3 linked regions of the Oryzias latipes genome follow. The main gene of each other region encodes a partner of the protein of the gene in region 3 in a complex. Links are inferred from orthologs where the notes say so. Each region holds a gene or a part of one and is shown on either strand. Other genes may lie near its edges. The genes, in order: nelfb, nelfa and nelfcd.

Region 1 (4,329 bases), on a different chromosome or scaffold from region 3:
CTCAGAAAGGCAGTTTTGTGTTTGAGCGCCCCCAGGTTGTGTTTTACTGTAACTTCAGAAGCCCCAGACACGTGTGCAAAAGCGCCATTCTCATCTGTCGTCGCGTCAGACCAAAAAAACGAACCCGAGGCGCTTTTAAAAAAATGACGCTTTTACGCCTGGCGTTTTTTCGCGTCGGTGTGCACACTCACATTGGTGCCCTTTGTTTAGTCACAAGGCGTTAAACGTCGGCGAATATCGCGCGCGAAATTCGTCCCGGTGTGTACGGGCCTTTAAGGTGCATGTCTACTGTGAGAGACATCATCCGAAAAAAAAACAATAATCCCTCACCTCGCCTTGGCGTCGTGTTTTGGGAGAAGGGCTGAAGAAATTGTGCAGAATGGAGAGGTCACTGCTGAAGAGAGCTGCTTCTTTCTCCACGATGTACTGCTTTAGAAGGGGGGAGACCTCGTCCCCAAAAAGAGCCTGGTTGTCCTGCCAAATCTGCCTTTTGACCTCCACCGCACACACCTTGTACAGCTCTTTGTCCGCCATAACCAGCTTCAGTTTCTTTTCTGGCACCTACAGCAGAAAAAAACAATAATTAGCTAAAGCTTTTTTTGCCTTTTGCTAAAACATTTGGTTTTCCAAAGATATCAAATTAGATGAAGGAAACAAAGAAATTCCCTGGGAACCATGGAAATGGAAGACTTCAACTGAATGCACACAAGACAAGGATCAAGAATCAGGGTGCACCTTTTTAAAAGGACCTATATCATGAGAGATCAACTTTTTGAGCTTTTAAGTGTAATATAATGTTAATTCCTCACAAAAAAAAAAACCCCAACTTAGTATTTTGATCCATTCACACATTTCTGAGGATTCCTCTAAAAACACACTCTCTGAGCACCAGCCCCTCCAAACCCACGAAAACAAGTGGGTTCTGGCATTCATAGAATAAGTGAGGAACAGCCCCTTCCAGGAAGAGTCGGTGCTGCCAGCCCCCCCTCGGCTAACACACACACTCTCTCCTTGGAGCTAGCAATGTTTGGCAAAAACTGCTTCATTTTAAATGCACAATGTGCACATCCATCTTTGAAAAAGTTTGAATGTTGTTTATTTTCGTGGATGAAACTCAGACACACTGCCGACGCCAAATCTAGGCGGACGTCATGAAATGGGCGGCACCCACAAGGAGCAAAAGGCGGAGCCTCAGAGATCGAGTCCTCTCTCTTCCGGGTAGGAAAAGGAGCGGTGAAAATGACTAATATTTCATAAATGTTTGTTCTTTCATGGGCCAAAGGTAATATATTTTCATATATATGGAAATAGTTCACTTGAAAGGCTTTAGAATAGCATTAGATGGGCCCTTTTAAAGAGACTATTTTGTAATGCATGCATCATAGCAAACTATATCCAGTATTATCTGCATAGTTTAAAATATTGAGACAAATGTAGCTGTAAATGCTCCAGAATAAAAACAGAAAACTTACATTTATGAAGCTTTTCTATAATTAGTGTCCATGTATCCAATTTGTTTCGATAAGAAAATAATAGATATATTTATATTCCTCTTGTAGCATAATATTTTACCTTTGGCAGATGCTTCAGCACCTGCATCACCACCGGCTGAATGGACGGCATTTTCACAAGCGGAAAGCTCTTCTCCAGCAATTCCTCCAGCTTTCCATACCTGAAAAAAGGTACAACAACACTTCAGCATCCATTTACCTCGCTTCTACCAAAAAGCTAGTTTCTTTTGAAAACGTACCGATCTTCCTCCTTGCCATCTGCAATAACAGCAACTCGCTCCATCAACTTGTCACGGAGCTCGTCAAAGACAGACTGATGGAACTCTAACCGCGGAGTGCCGTGGAGGTCCAGGAAAGGAAGAGCAGACTGGAGTGTTGGCAACAGAATCCCATTTTCCATCTGTGATGACATGAGACATCAACAACTGGTGAGGGATTGTTGTAACCACCAAAAGAAATGCAAATGAACAATAATCTGGCCTCAATCGGTCAAAAGATTTTAATTTTATTTGGAGAAAACCCAAACCTAACTTGATAGCTTTGCACCAGCAGTGCTTGAAATGCACTTCTATGTCCTCCATCATGAGAAAAATGCTACAAGAACACGTTAAAAACACCCAAAACTCATTGGAGCCGCCACCAGTGTGTGAATGTGTGAGTGAATGTGTGAGTGAATGTGTGTGTGACTGGGTGAATGGGTCTGTGACTGTAAAGCGCTTTGTCCTTGTAGGAAGAAAGGCGCTATATAAGTATACGCCATTTACTTAAGGGCCAAATTTCAGATTTTTTAGTTTTTCTGATCAAAACCACACTCGCTTTTTTTTAATAGAATAAATATTTGTCTAATTTAGATTTAGAAAAAGGTTTTTCTCCAGACAGACATTTTCATAATTTTATTTTTGGTCTTCAAATATGAAACTCAGTCATTTTAGTTCTATATTTTGCTCTGAAGAAATGAAAACTTATCTAATCACAAAAAATGTTTAAAATGCAGAACAATGCAAGCTAACATAATGTGCAGTCGTCCCGCCAAGATAGAGAACCCGTCTATTCTCTATCTTGTGCTATTATTTTTTCGTTGTTGTTGTTGTTTACCTGAAACTGGTCGATGGCTTTCAGCGGCTCCGTACAGTTGGTGAGTGTTTCCTTCAGATCATCCCCGTTTGAAATGCCGAGCTCAGACAGCCCCGCGAACATTCTTATAATTTAATCAATACGAACCCCACAAATTCAATTTGTGCTAAAAACAGGTTCGTCTATTTTGGCTAAGTTGCAACAGTTTTGTTGGTGCCAAATTAAACGCACAGCTAAAGTCTGAACGGTTGTCTACGAATGTTGTAGCGCTGTAACAGGGCCGCCGGAAACACGGAACCTTATGAAACGTTCCGCTCTTTGTTTCCCGCTGTGGCTGCATTCACACGTACACCATGTTCAAGTAAAATTAAAAGAAACAAAGGCAATAATTCTTTTAGTTTGGCATTATAAGTCAATGTTTTATTTATTTTGATTACATATTACTTAGTTTTATTACTTTATATTGTTTTCAACTGCTGCTTAGACTTTGTTCTAGTTTTCTATTTGTAAAATGCCATGGTGCTTCATATTTTTGGATTTGAATGTTTCAAATGGAAAAAATGAGTAATTTTGAATTTTGTTAGCAAACAAACAAACAAAAAAGAATGTACACCATATTCCAGGGGTGTCTCGAATTTTTGCAAAGAGGGTTAAATTTGGTGTGCTTAAAAATGTAATGCGGGCATTTGGCCTGCCTTCTTTGAAACATTATAACGTTAAATAGAAATGAACTGTGTGATTTTTTATTTTTTTTTTGCAATTAAATACTTTTCATTTCCTCAAATGGACCAGAGCTTTATCTAAATACATTAGCCTTCACTCATCCGCAGATATAGTTTTGCAGAAATTTTTACGCCGGATGCTCTTCCTGACACAACCCTGTATTTTAACTGGGCTGTGGGCCGCCACAGGGCAGGGTGACCGAGATATTGGCCCCCTTGTAGCTATATAGGAAGGCAGTAGCGTCAAGTGTCTTACCTAAGTGAAAAACTGTTTTTATAGTCTATGCTAAGGACCCACACTGGATGAAGCTCATTGCGCCCCCTGGTTTCCCATGTCCCAGTCCTGTCCTCAGGGCTTTAACTAACCAAGCAAGAAAAAATAATTAAAAAATGTTTTTTTTTCTGCTGCTTCTCGCCTTGGTGGAAACACATTAATTGGGTTCTAAAGATGCTCTACCATTTGGTTGAGTAGGCAGTTACCTGAGCTTTAAATGCTCACTGTAAACTTCTAAATTTAAATCATGTGAAAAGGGGAAAAAACACAAATAGTTATCTTATTCAGAACTACAAACCACTGTGATTTTGATCACCGACACCAATAAATCCACTCCTCTTATTCGGCGCATGAGGCTCTAAAGGTCAAGTTGCTACAGGTTGTTGCCACAGGTTTAAAACGGCTAATAACGTAATTTAGCAAATCAAATTCAAGAAATTGTACTTCTTAGAAAGTGCTGAAGGTCTAATGATTTTATGGCAGGACCATGAAGGCGGGTGGAAATTTGAAAGTGGGCCACATTTGGCAGACTTTGGACACGCCTGCCATGTACCAAGGATACAGTGATTTACATGGTAAAATTTTGGTGTAAAAAAAATATTGGTCAAACTATATCAGTGGGACGGCCGTGGTGCAGCGGTAGGGCGGTCGACCCATGATCGCATATGTGCAGGTTCGATTCCCGCCTTGCACGCCCAAGGCGGTGTGGCTGGGTGAAAGGGTCTGTGACTGTAAAGCGCTTTGGGCC
Region 2 (4,271 bases), on a different chromosome or scaffold from region 3:
TAGACCTCAAACTCGCTGATGCATGAAGATGGTGAACTGGGTTTCAAACCTTCCACCTCATGTTTGGCAGCAAACTCAAAACTTAATGATAGGAAAAGATTTTTAAAAAAAAAAAAAAAAAAAAACATTGAATTTCTTTGAAATACTTTGCTCCAAACTAATTTGATCCTACTTTTTACCTTTCAGGACCCACTCTGATCATCTTTGATCCGTTTTAAAAGAGTTCATAGTGGCCTTGTATTTATGATTATGTTGTTCCTAGCCAGGATCCCCTTCTCCTGCTGCTGAGTGAAGCAGGGAGCTTGTGACCCGTCCAATGTATTGTTTACATCACAAATACAATCTTTTCCCACCAGCATTTTTTCGTTTTCTCCTGATTCAAAACAATTTCATTAAAGAAATACTCAGAAATGGAATTTTAAGTTGAATTTTCTTTATATTTCCTCCATCACTAGATAAATGCCACAAGAACAAGTTCAAAACAGCAAAAACACAATTTTCATCAGAGTGAGTCTTTACATTTCAACCATGGATATGTTTCTAATTTTTATAACAACATTTTAACCTAATAACACCTGACACAAATAAATAACTGACAAAGTTTATTTCTATGTAACTTGACACTAATAATAATGTAAAAATATTTTTTGTTTAAATAATATATAAAACACCAGAAATCCCATTAAATTTGGGCAATAACAAAACAAACTATAAGATTAAACTAACAAACTAACAAACTGTTCTGTTATAAATTTGATCAACATATCTCAGTATCATATGTATCAAATATAACAAATGTATGCTTTTAAACACAAAGAGAAATAAAATATAAAATATAATAAGAGCGCAGAGGAATCTTTCTTGGTAGTATTTGAATTTCAAATGTTTGCAAACATGTAAACAAGGTTAAAGACTCCAGCATCCCAATAAAAGTCAGGATGGCAGATTTTACCAACCTTTCTCCCTGAGCTCTCCTAAAATATCCTGCACATTTGGATTCTGCTCCTCTAAATCCAGATTGAGAGATCCCGTCTCTGGGAAGGATTTTAGAATATCTGCAACCATCAACACCCATGGCTCTGAATCCACCGTAGCCAGCTGGATGATCTCAGACAAGGCCTCCTTCATCTGGGCAAAACACAGAAGAATGACATTTGATTATCAAATTTCTCAAAAGATATAATTATAAAGATTTTTTCCCCCCCATCAGACAACACATCAAAAGACCACACCCTCCATATTCAATCAAGACGACTTAGTAGGGATAAAAATAATATTTTTCAAAAGATATTTGACATAAAGTCAGTCATGTTTTCCGGTGTTTACTTCAGTAATTTCAGTCCAAGTCCAATCATCTTTTGACTTAATTTAAAAGGATTCCAAGTGGTCTTTTGATTACGATTATACCGCTTTTAGTACATATTTAAAAAACTGTAATTGTCTGAAGAGTGCCAGGAGAAATTCACTTCTAAATTGTGGGCGGGTCTGCTGGTGCAGAGTAACCCCGCCCTCTTCTTGTTTAGCTTAGTTTATTGTTCTTGAACAATTAAAACTTTACAAGGTTGACGAGCAGATAAAATGAAATACATGTTGGAATTTTCAAAAAAAATGATAATTCTGCAAAGAATTTGAGTTTGTATCCCTTCCGCTAAGATAAAAATATACAATCGAGAACAAAATATTTTTCTGCACCGTACGTACTTTTTTAGGAAGGTACAAAAATGTATGTCTTCTAAAAATAAATAAAATAAAACAAAAAAACGACAACTAATTAGGTTTTTATTCTAGGTCGTAAGTAAAGCGATGACTTGGATACGAAAATTATTACATAAAAGCACCAATTGCCTTTACTGGATTCCCCATCACTGAAGCTAAGTCAGAGTTTGGCTCCGGTGAGACTGAGAGGTCCTGACGGGCGGCAGCAGCATGAGCAGCAGAGCAGCATAGCAGAGCAGGTGATATGTCGGACTCAGTGTTGGTTCCGCCCTCCGACCCAGCTAACGCTCCAGCAGCGTCCGTCCCACCACAATGTCTGAACGCCCGCCACCAGGCAAATGCTACCCACTGCCGCTGGGGAGCCGAAGTTAGTGTGGCGTTCAAAACTTTAGCTATGGAGCAGCTTCTCCCGACCCCAATTCAATTTTAGACCACTGCTGACTTGAAGCGAAGGTAAAAACTCACCGAAGATCAATGTACTGAACGAACCTGCGGTTTCTTTTTAGTAGTTACTGAGTTAGCCATAATTAGCTACTACATCCAAATTTCTTTATGTTATGTGTTTTTCTTTTGACATGTCTCTGAGATGCTCTCTGAGTACCTGCGAGATTTTTTTCTGCAACTAGTTGTGAACTAAACTACAACCCTACCTGTGTGAATAATAGCAGAGACTTTTCAAGCTAACCTCTAGCAGCAGCAACCCACCTCGTCAACGGTCCGCCGGGGAAGATGCAGCATCCCCAGGAGCAGTTTTAGCTTTACCGGCGGCGACAGACTGGAAAAGCATAGCCGTATATTGTCGATTACTGACACTGTGAGCAGGGAAGCAATACTCGGAGGTGTCCACAGCTCGTCTGTTGATCCTAGTTTGTTGTGAAGCCACAGGCCAGTGTCGCTGTCCTTCATCGACGCCATCTTGGAAAAAGAAGTGTTTTGAGTTCGGGCATTTTAGCAGGCTACCTAAGAAAACAGCTCGTAGGACCCCGCCCACAAGTGGGTGGTTACGTGTAACAGCTATGTTGATAACTAATGATCACCACATTAAATATTTTTCTATAAAATTGGCATCTCCGCCTTCTTTTCTGTCATTTCCAATGTACCCATACACTGTATAAAATGTTTACATTAAAAAAGTCTCATGTTTCCCTTTTTATTAACACAAAACAAGTCTATTTGCTTCTTTACTGGTTATACGTTTCTTGGTGTGGACAAATAAAAAAAAAAAAAAACTAAATATGTGTCGTTTATTCTGAAAAGCTTGAGGGAAATTCCGGTTTCATTACCAAAGCATAGCAAATTTTAGCCTGGCCAGACGCATGCGCACTTGGTGAATGTTCCTCAACCAGCGCTCGTTTGTCCTCACTGTGATTTCCAAACACCAGTAGCTGGTTGACTGCAGGTAAATAACACTGAGGTAATAATAATCTTTAGGTGACTTGTAAAAACGTGCCTGTTAAGATGGGGTGGGGGGGGGGGGGGGGGGAATTAACAACCTAACCATTACATATTTTGCTAATTAGTTTCCGGACGGCCTTGTAGATTTTTTATTTAAAAAAATGTTTCTTGCCTATCTTGATTCAGGGACCCGACGGCGTCATCAATGGCTTCCCGTGGCTATGCGCAAGCAGCCTTGGTTCTTCTGGCCGTGCAGCTCTTTTGCCTCGGTACCGCCGATGCAGATCAGGAGACGGGGACCGTTATCCCAGCCGAAAGTAGGTAACATTAGCCTATGGGGGTTCTTTCTTTTTATTACTTGAGATGGAATCGGTAATCTGTCAATGAAAACATTATGTTTGCTTATATATGGGTTTCATCCCCCAATGGGACCACACAGGCCTCTATTGTGTGTGTGTACATACATACATACATACATACATACATACATATATATACGTGTGTGTGTGTGGGTGTGTGTGTGTGGGGGTGTGTGTGTGTGTGTGTGTGTGTGTGTGTGTGTGTGTGTGTGTGTGCCTAAAGCCTAAAAAGATCAGTGTTTTTGGGGGGATGGGGGGTCCGACCTCCCTGCTGTGTGTTATTTCTTAGCTGTTGTGCTTTCAGGTCGCCCGTGTGTGGACTGTCATGCCTTTGAGTTCATGCAGAGAGCGCTTCAGGATCTAAAGAAGACAGCTTTCAACCTGGATGCCAGGGTCTGTGACTCCCCAGATTTCTAGAGCTTTGAGTACTAAATCCATAGTCTTAAGGCCCGTACACACCGGGACTAATATTCGCCAGGCGTTATTCGCCAGCATTTTTCGCCACGTTTTTTGTGTTCACACCCAGGCGATTTTCGCTGACGATGAGCCGAGCGAACATGCAATTTCATTCCCTGACATTAGATGGCGCTTAATGTAAACAGAAATACTCCTGTACACAAGGTGGCGCTGCGCAACTTTAGGCTTCTTAAAGTCGCTTTTCCCTCAGAAGAAGAGAGCAAGTATTTACGCGCTAGTCAGAATAATAAAAAGAAAACATGAATATTTCAAGCACCAGTAGCTCCAACTGGTGCTTCGTTCTGGGATATTTAAGAATGTCCGTCATTATTTCTTCGCGGCAGT
Region 3 (2,540 bases):
TCCTGTGCTCCATTTGCAGAAAATGGTGTGTCATGGCGAGCACACTTACCTCTTTGCCCAGGCGATGATGTCCATCCTCGCTCAGGAGGAACAAGGCGGTTCGGCTGTTCGCAGGATCGGCCAAGAGGTGCAAAGGGCTGCACACGAGAGGTACACCCGTAGCAATGGAGCTTAGTCCAGGGGTTTGCAGGCTGCAGCACTTAAAAAAACGGACCGGAAGGTTTATTTATTTATTTTTTTAGGAGCTATAAAGTCTTACTTTCAGGAAAATAAGACAGATTTGTATTTATGTTGCTGTTACTGTTATGGTAAATATAAATAAACTGTTGTTTTTGGCTTCAATAAGATATAATCATTAAGAGAAAATAGCCTTTTTTTCAGATTATGAAATGGTTTATAATTTTTGGCGCGACTTCCTTTTGAAATTAAAGATACCAGGTGTCGCATAGGATCATGTCAAGGCAGCAAATATAGTAATGGGCAGTGTAATTCCAGCAGAGATTTAGAAAAAAAGTTTATGTTACCGTTTGCGGTAAATCGAACAAAGTGAAATTAAATCAGCGCTAATTAAGTGACCAATATATATATATATATATATATATATTTAACTCTATGGTGCTCTTAAAATCCTTTAATTTCTTCAAAAATAGAAAATATTCCTCAGTTCTGGTTGTTCTTACCGACTTTCAATCATTTTCTGTGGTAGACTTATTCTGTGCTGAAAATTTGCGACCTGGCTCTGGACGAAATGGCGCCGGACACAAACGCCTGGAGGCGGACTTTCCCAAACCCAAAAGTGTTCAGAATTGTAAAATAAAACATTTTATTAAAGCTTAAACTGAGAAAAAAAAACATAACTATTTGGGTCGCCAGTTAAAAGAAAGTTTTATCAGCGGACATTTGTCTTCTGGCTGTTGATGTCTGCAGCCAGGTCCTTTTGCAAAAGTCTGTCAAAGTTTTAGTTGTGACACTTGCTGAACCCCATTAGAGGAGTTAAAGGTTGCAGACCCCTGCTTTAAGCCTTATACTGTTAGAGACATCTTTAGGTGCCGCTCAGAAGTGAATTTTATAACATGGTTCGAGGGAGGAAAATTATTTTGATTTTGCAGCTAGAAATTGATGAATGCGTTCAAAAAGATGCACCGTTTAAGGTTTTACTCCCCGACATGCTATCTGGACCAACAGGATGTGAACTCTTGTCTCTTGTTTTTAATGGCAGAGGCCACGATGCCAGCCAGATCACCCTGGCACTTGGAACCGCAGCCGCCTACCCTCGAGCCTGCCAAGCTTTAGGTGCCATGCTGTCCAAAGGAGCCCTGAATCCTGCTGACATCACAGTTCTTTTTAAGATGTTCAGCAGCATGGACCCTCCTCCTGTTGAACTGGTAAAGAATCACTTTTCTTTTTTTGTAGTGTCGATAAAATGCTGTTATTTTAAACGATCTTCTTGTTTTTAGATCCGAGTGCCGGCGTTTTTAGACCTTTTCATGCAATCGCTTTTTAAACCCGGATCAAAAATCAACCAGGACCACAAACACAAGTACATCCACATCTTGGCTTATGCTGCCAGTGTGGTGGAGACGTGGAAGAAGGTACAGAGTTTGCTGACATCATTTACGTCTGCTTTTGGTGCAGAGGATACTTTTTACAGGATAGTTGGCAGCTGTTGGTAGATTATTCATGAAAAGCAAAATTCATGTGCGTTTTTTATGGCTTTGATTCACCTCGATAAGTTCTTTTAACATTTTCCTGCCATTCTAGAACAAACGGGTCAACATCAACAAAGATGAGCTAAAGTCCACGTCCAAAGCCATAGAGACCGTTCACAACCTGTGCTGCAACGAGAACAAAGGAGCCACAGAGCTGGTGGCTGAGCTGGGCACTTTGTACCAGTGCATCCGGTGAGACGAGGATCCAAATCAGTAAAACATATAAAAAATACGAGCTCAAAGACAGAACTGCTTCAAATACTTTAGTTCTCATGAATGTTCAGTTGGAAGCTCCAAAAAGGTGCACGTCTACAGAGGAAGAAGGGACACAGTTCAGCACAAATTGAGCTGATTTGTTGATTGGAAATGATGTTATTGAAGTTATCAGGAGCTAGCTGAAGCTCTCAGATCTCCAACTCTGTTGTTTCACACAAAATAAAACAACAGTTATTTACTTTGAAGACCGACCATGATAAAAATCCTGTTTTTTGGGGTTTTTAACAGGTCATTTTCTGATGATACATTAAGAAAATTAAGCTCCAATTTGAATTTCTAATTATTTCTTTATTCAAATCGTTGTGAATCAGGAGCAGATGAAAAAATGCAGTTTGAAAAAGTGCTTTTTTCTTTTTGCTGGGTTGGGGTTGTGTGGGGCTGGAAGCTAGCGGCAGAACTGGTAAACGGATAGCTCGGTTAAGGGTCAGGGGAAAAAGGGGCGGGGTTGCCCCGCGCCAACTATCCCATCTGCAACACAGATGTGAATTTCTACTAAACTCCTGCTGCTCTGCAGAAACTATGTCCTAGAAAACGACACAGGTTTTTGGATTTTGG

The links.
Region 1: the proteins of nelfcd (region 3) and nelfb are in contact, whole or in part, in a crystal structure (PDB 8JJ6), measured with the Homo sapiens proteins. The link is inferred for Oryzias latipes from reciprocal best matches to the Homo sapiens genes NELFCD and NELFB. Residues at the interface, in XP_047296144.1 of Homo sapiens: Arg63, Ile66, Met67, Glu68, Pro69, Ile71, Phe72, Leu75, Ile89, Gln90, Leu92, Ser93, Tyr96, Thr97, Ala98, Val99, Ala100, Gln101, Thr102, Val103, Asn104, Leu105, Leu106, Trp109, Leu110, Gln112, Thr113, Gly114, Val115, Gln121; in NP_056271.3 of Homo sapiens: Met49, Leu53, Leu56, Val58, Ala59, Asn60, Gly61, Leu64, Lys65, Leu68, Thr69, Leu75, Ile78, Glu79, Phe81, Gln82, Glu84, Asn85, Gly86, Val87, Leu88, Leu89, Ser91, Leu92, Ser94, Ala95, Leu96, Pro97, Phe98, Leu99.
Region 2: the proteins of nelfcd (region 3) and nelfa are in contact, whole or in part, in a crystal structure (PDB 5L3X), measured with the Homo sapiens proteins. The link is inferred for Oryzias latipes from reciprocal best matches to the Homo sapiens genes NELFCD and NELFA. Residues at the interface, in XP_047296144.1 of Homo sapiens: Cys204, Gln205, Gln206, Leu207, Glu208, Phe210, Ser211, Leu214, Arg215, Leu218, Ala219, Ile221, Leu222, Asp223, Gly225, Glu226, Cys241, His242, Gly243, Glu244, His245, Thr246, Tyr247, Leu248, Phe249, Ala252, Met253, Ser255, Val256, Leu257; in NP_005654.4 of Homo sapiens: Leu23, Trp24, Ala25, Leu54, Leu58, Leu61, His62, Arg65, Pro88, Trp89, Met92, Val93, Ile96, Leu97, Phe100, Gly104, Ser105, Leu106, Leu108, Leu110, Asn116, Val117, Asp119, Ile120, Leu121, Glu123, Leu124, Arg125, Lys127, Val128.

Annotation. Positions count from the first base shown.
Region 1 is NC_019871.2:30,111,675-30,116,003, forward strand, and holds the start of nelfb (negative elongation factor B), read right to left. Parts: upstream 2,869-4,329; 5' UTR 2,709-2,868; coding exon 2,607-2,708; intron 1,912-2,606; coding exon 1,751-1,911; intron 1,673-1,750; coding exon 1,573-1,672; intron 562-1,572; coding exon 331-561; intron 1-330. UniProt on the Homo sapiens protein: Essential component of the NELF complex, a complex that negatively regulates the elongation of transcription by RNA polymerase II.
Region 2 is NC_019876.2:18,438,415-18,442,685, reverse strand, and holds the start of nelfa (negative elongation factor A), read right to left. Parts: upstream 2,883-4,271; 5' UTR 2,632-2,882; coding exon 2,422-2,631; intron 2,170-2,421; exon of another isoform or gene 2,012-2,169; intron 1,129-2,011; coding exon 957-1,128; intron 1-956. Other genes in the region: c18h4orf48 (neuropeptide-like protein C4orf48 homolog), read left to right, coding at 3,317-3,428, 3,775-3,863. UniProt on the Homo sapiens protein: Essential component of the NELF complex, a complex that negatively regulates the elongation of transcription by RNA polymerase II.
Region 3 is NC_019863.2:26,963,639-26,966,178, reverse strand, and holds part of nelfcd (negative elongation factor C/D), read left to right. Parts: intron 1-19; coding exon 20-150; intron 151-1,219; coding exon 1,220-1,385; intron 1,386-1,457; coding exon 1,458-1,592; intron 1,593-1,761; coding exon 1,762-1,901; intron 1,902-2,540. UniProt on the Homo sapiens protein: Essential component of the NELF complex, a complex that negatively regulates the elongation of transcription by RNA polymerase II.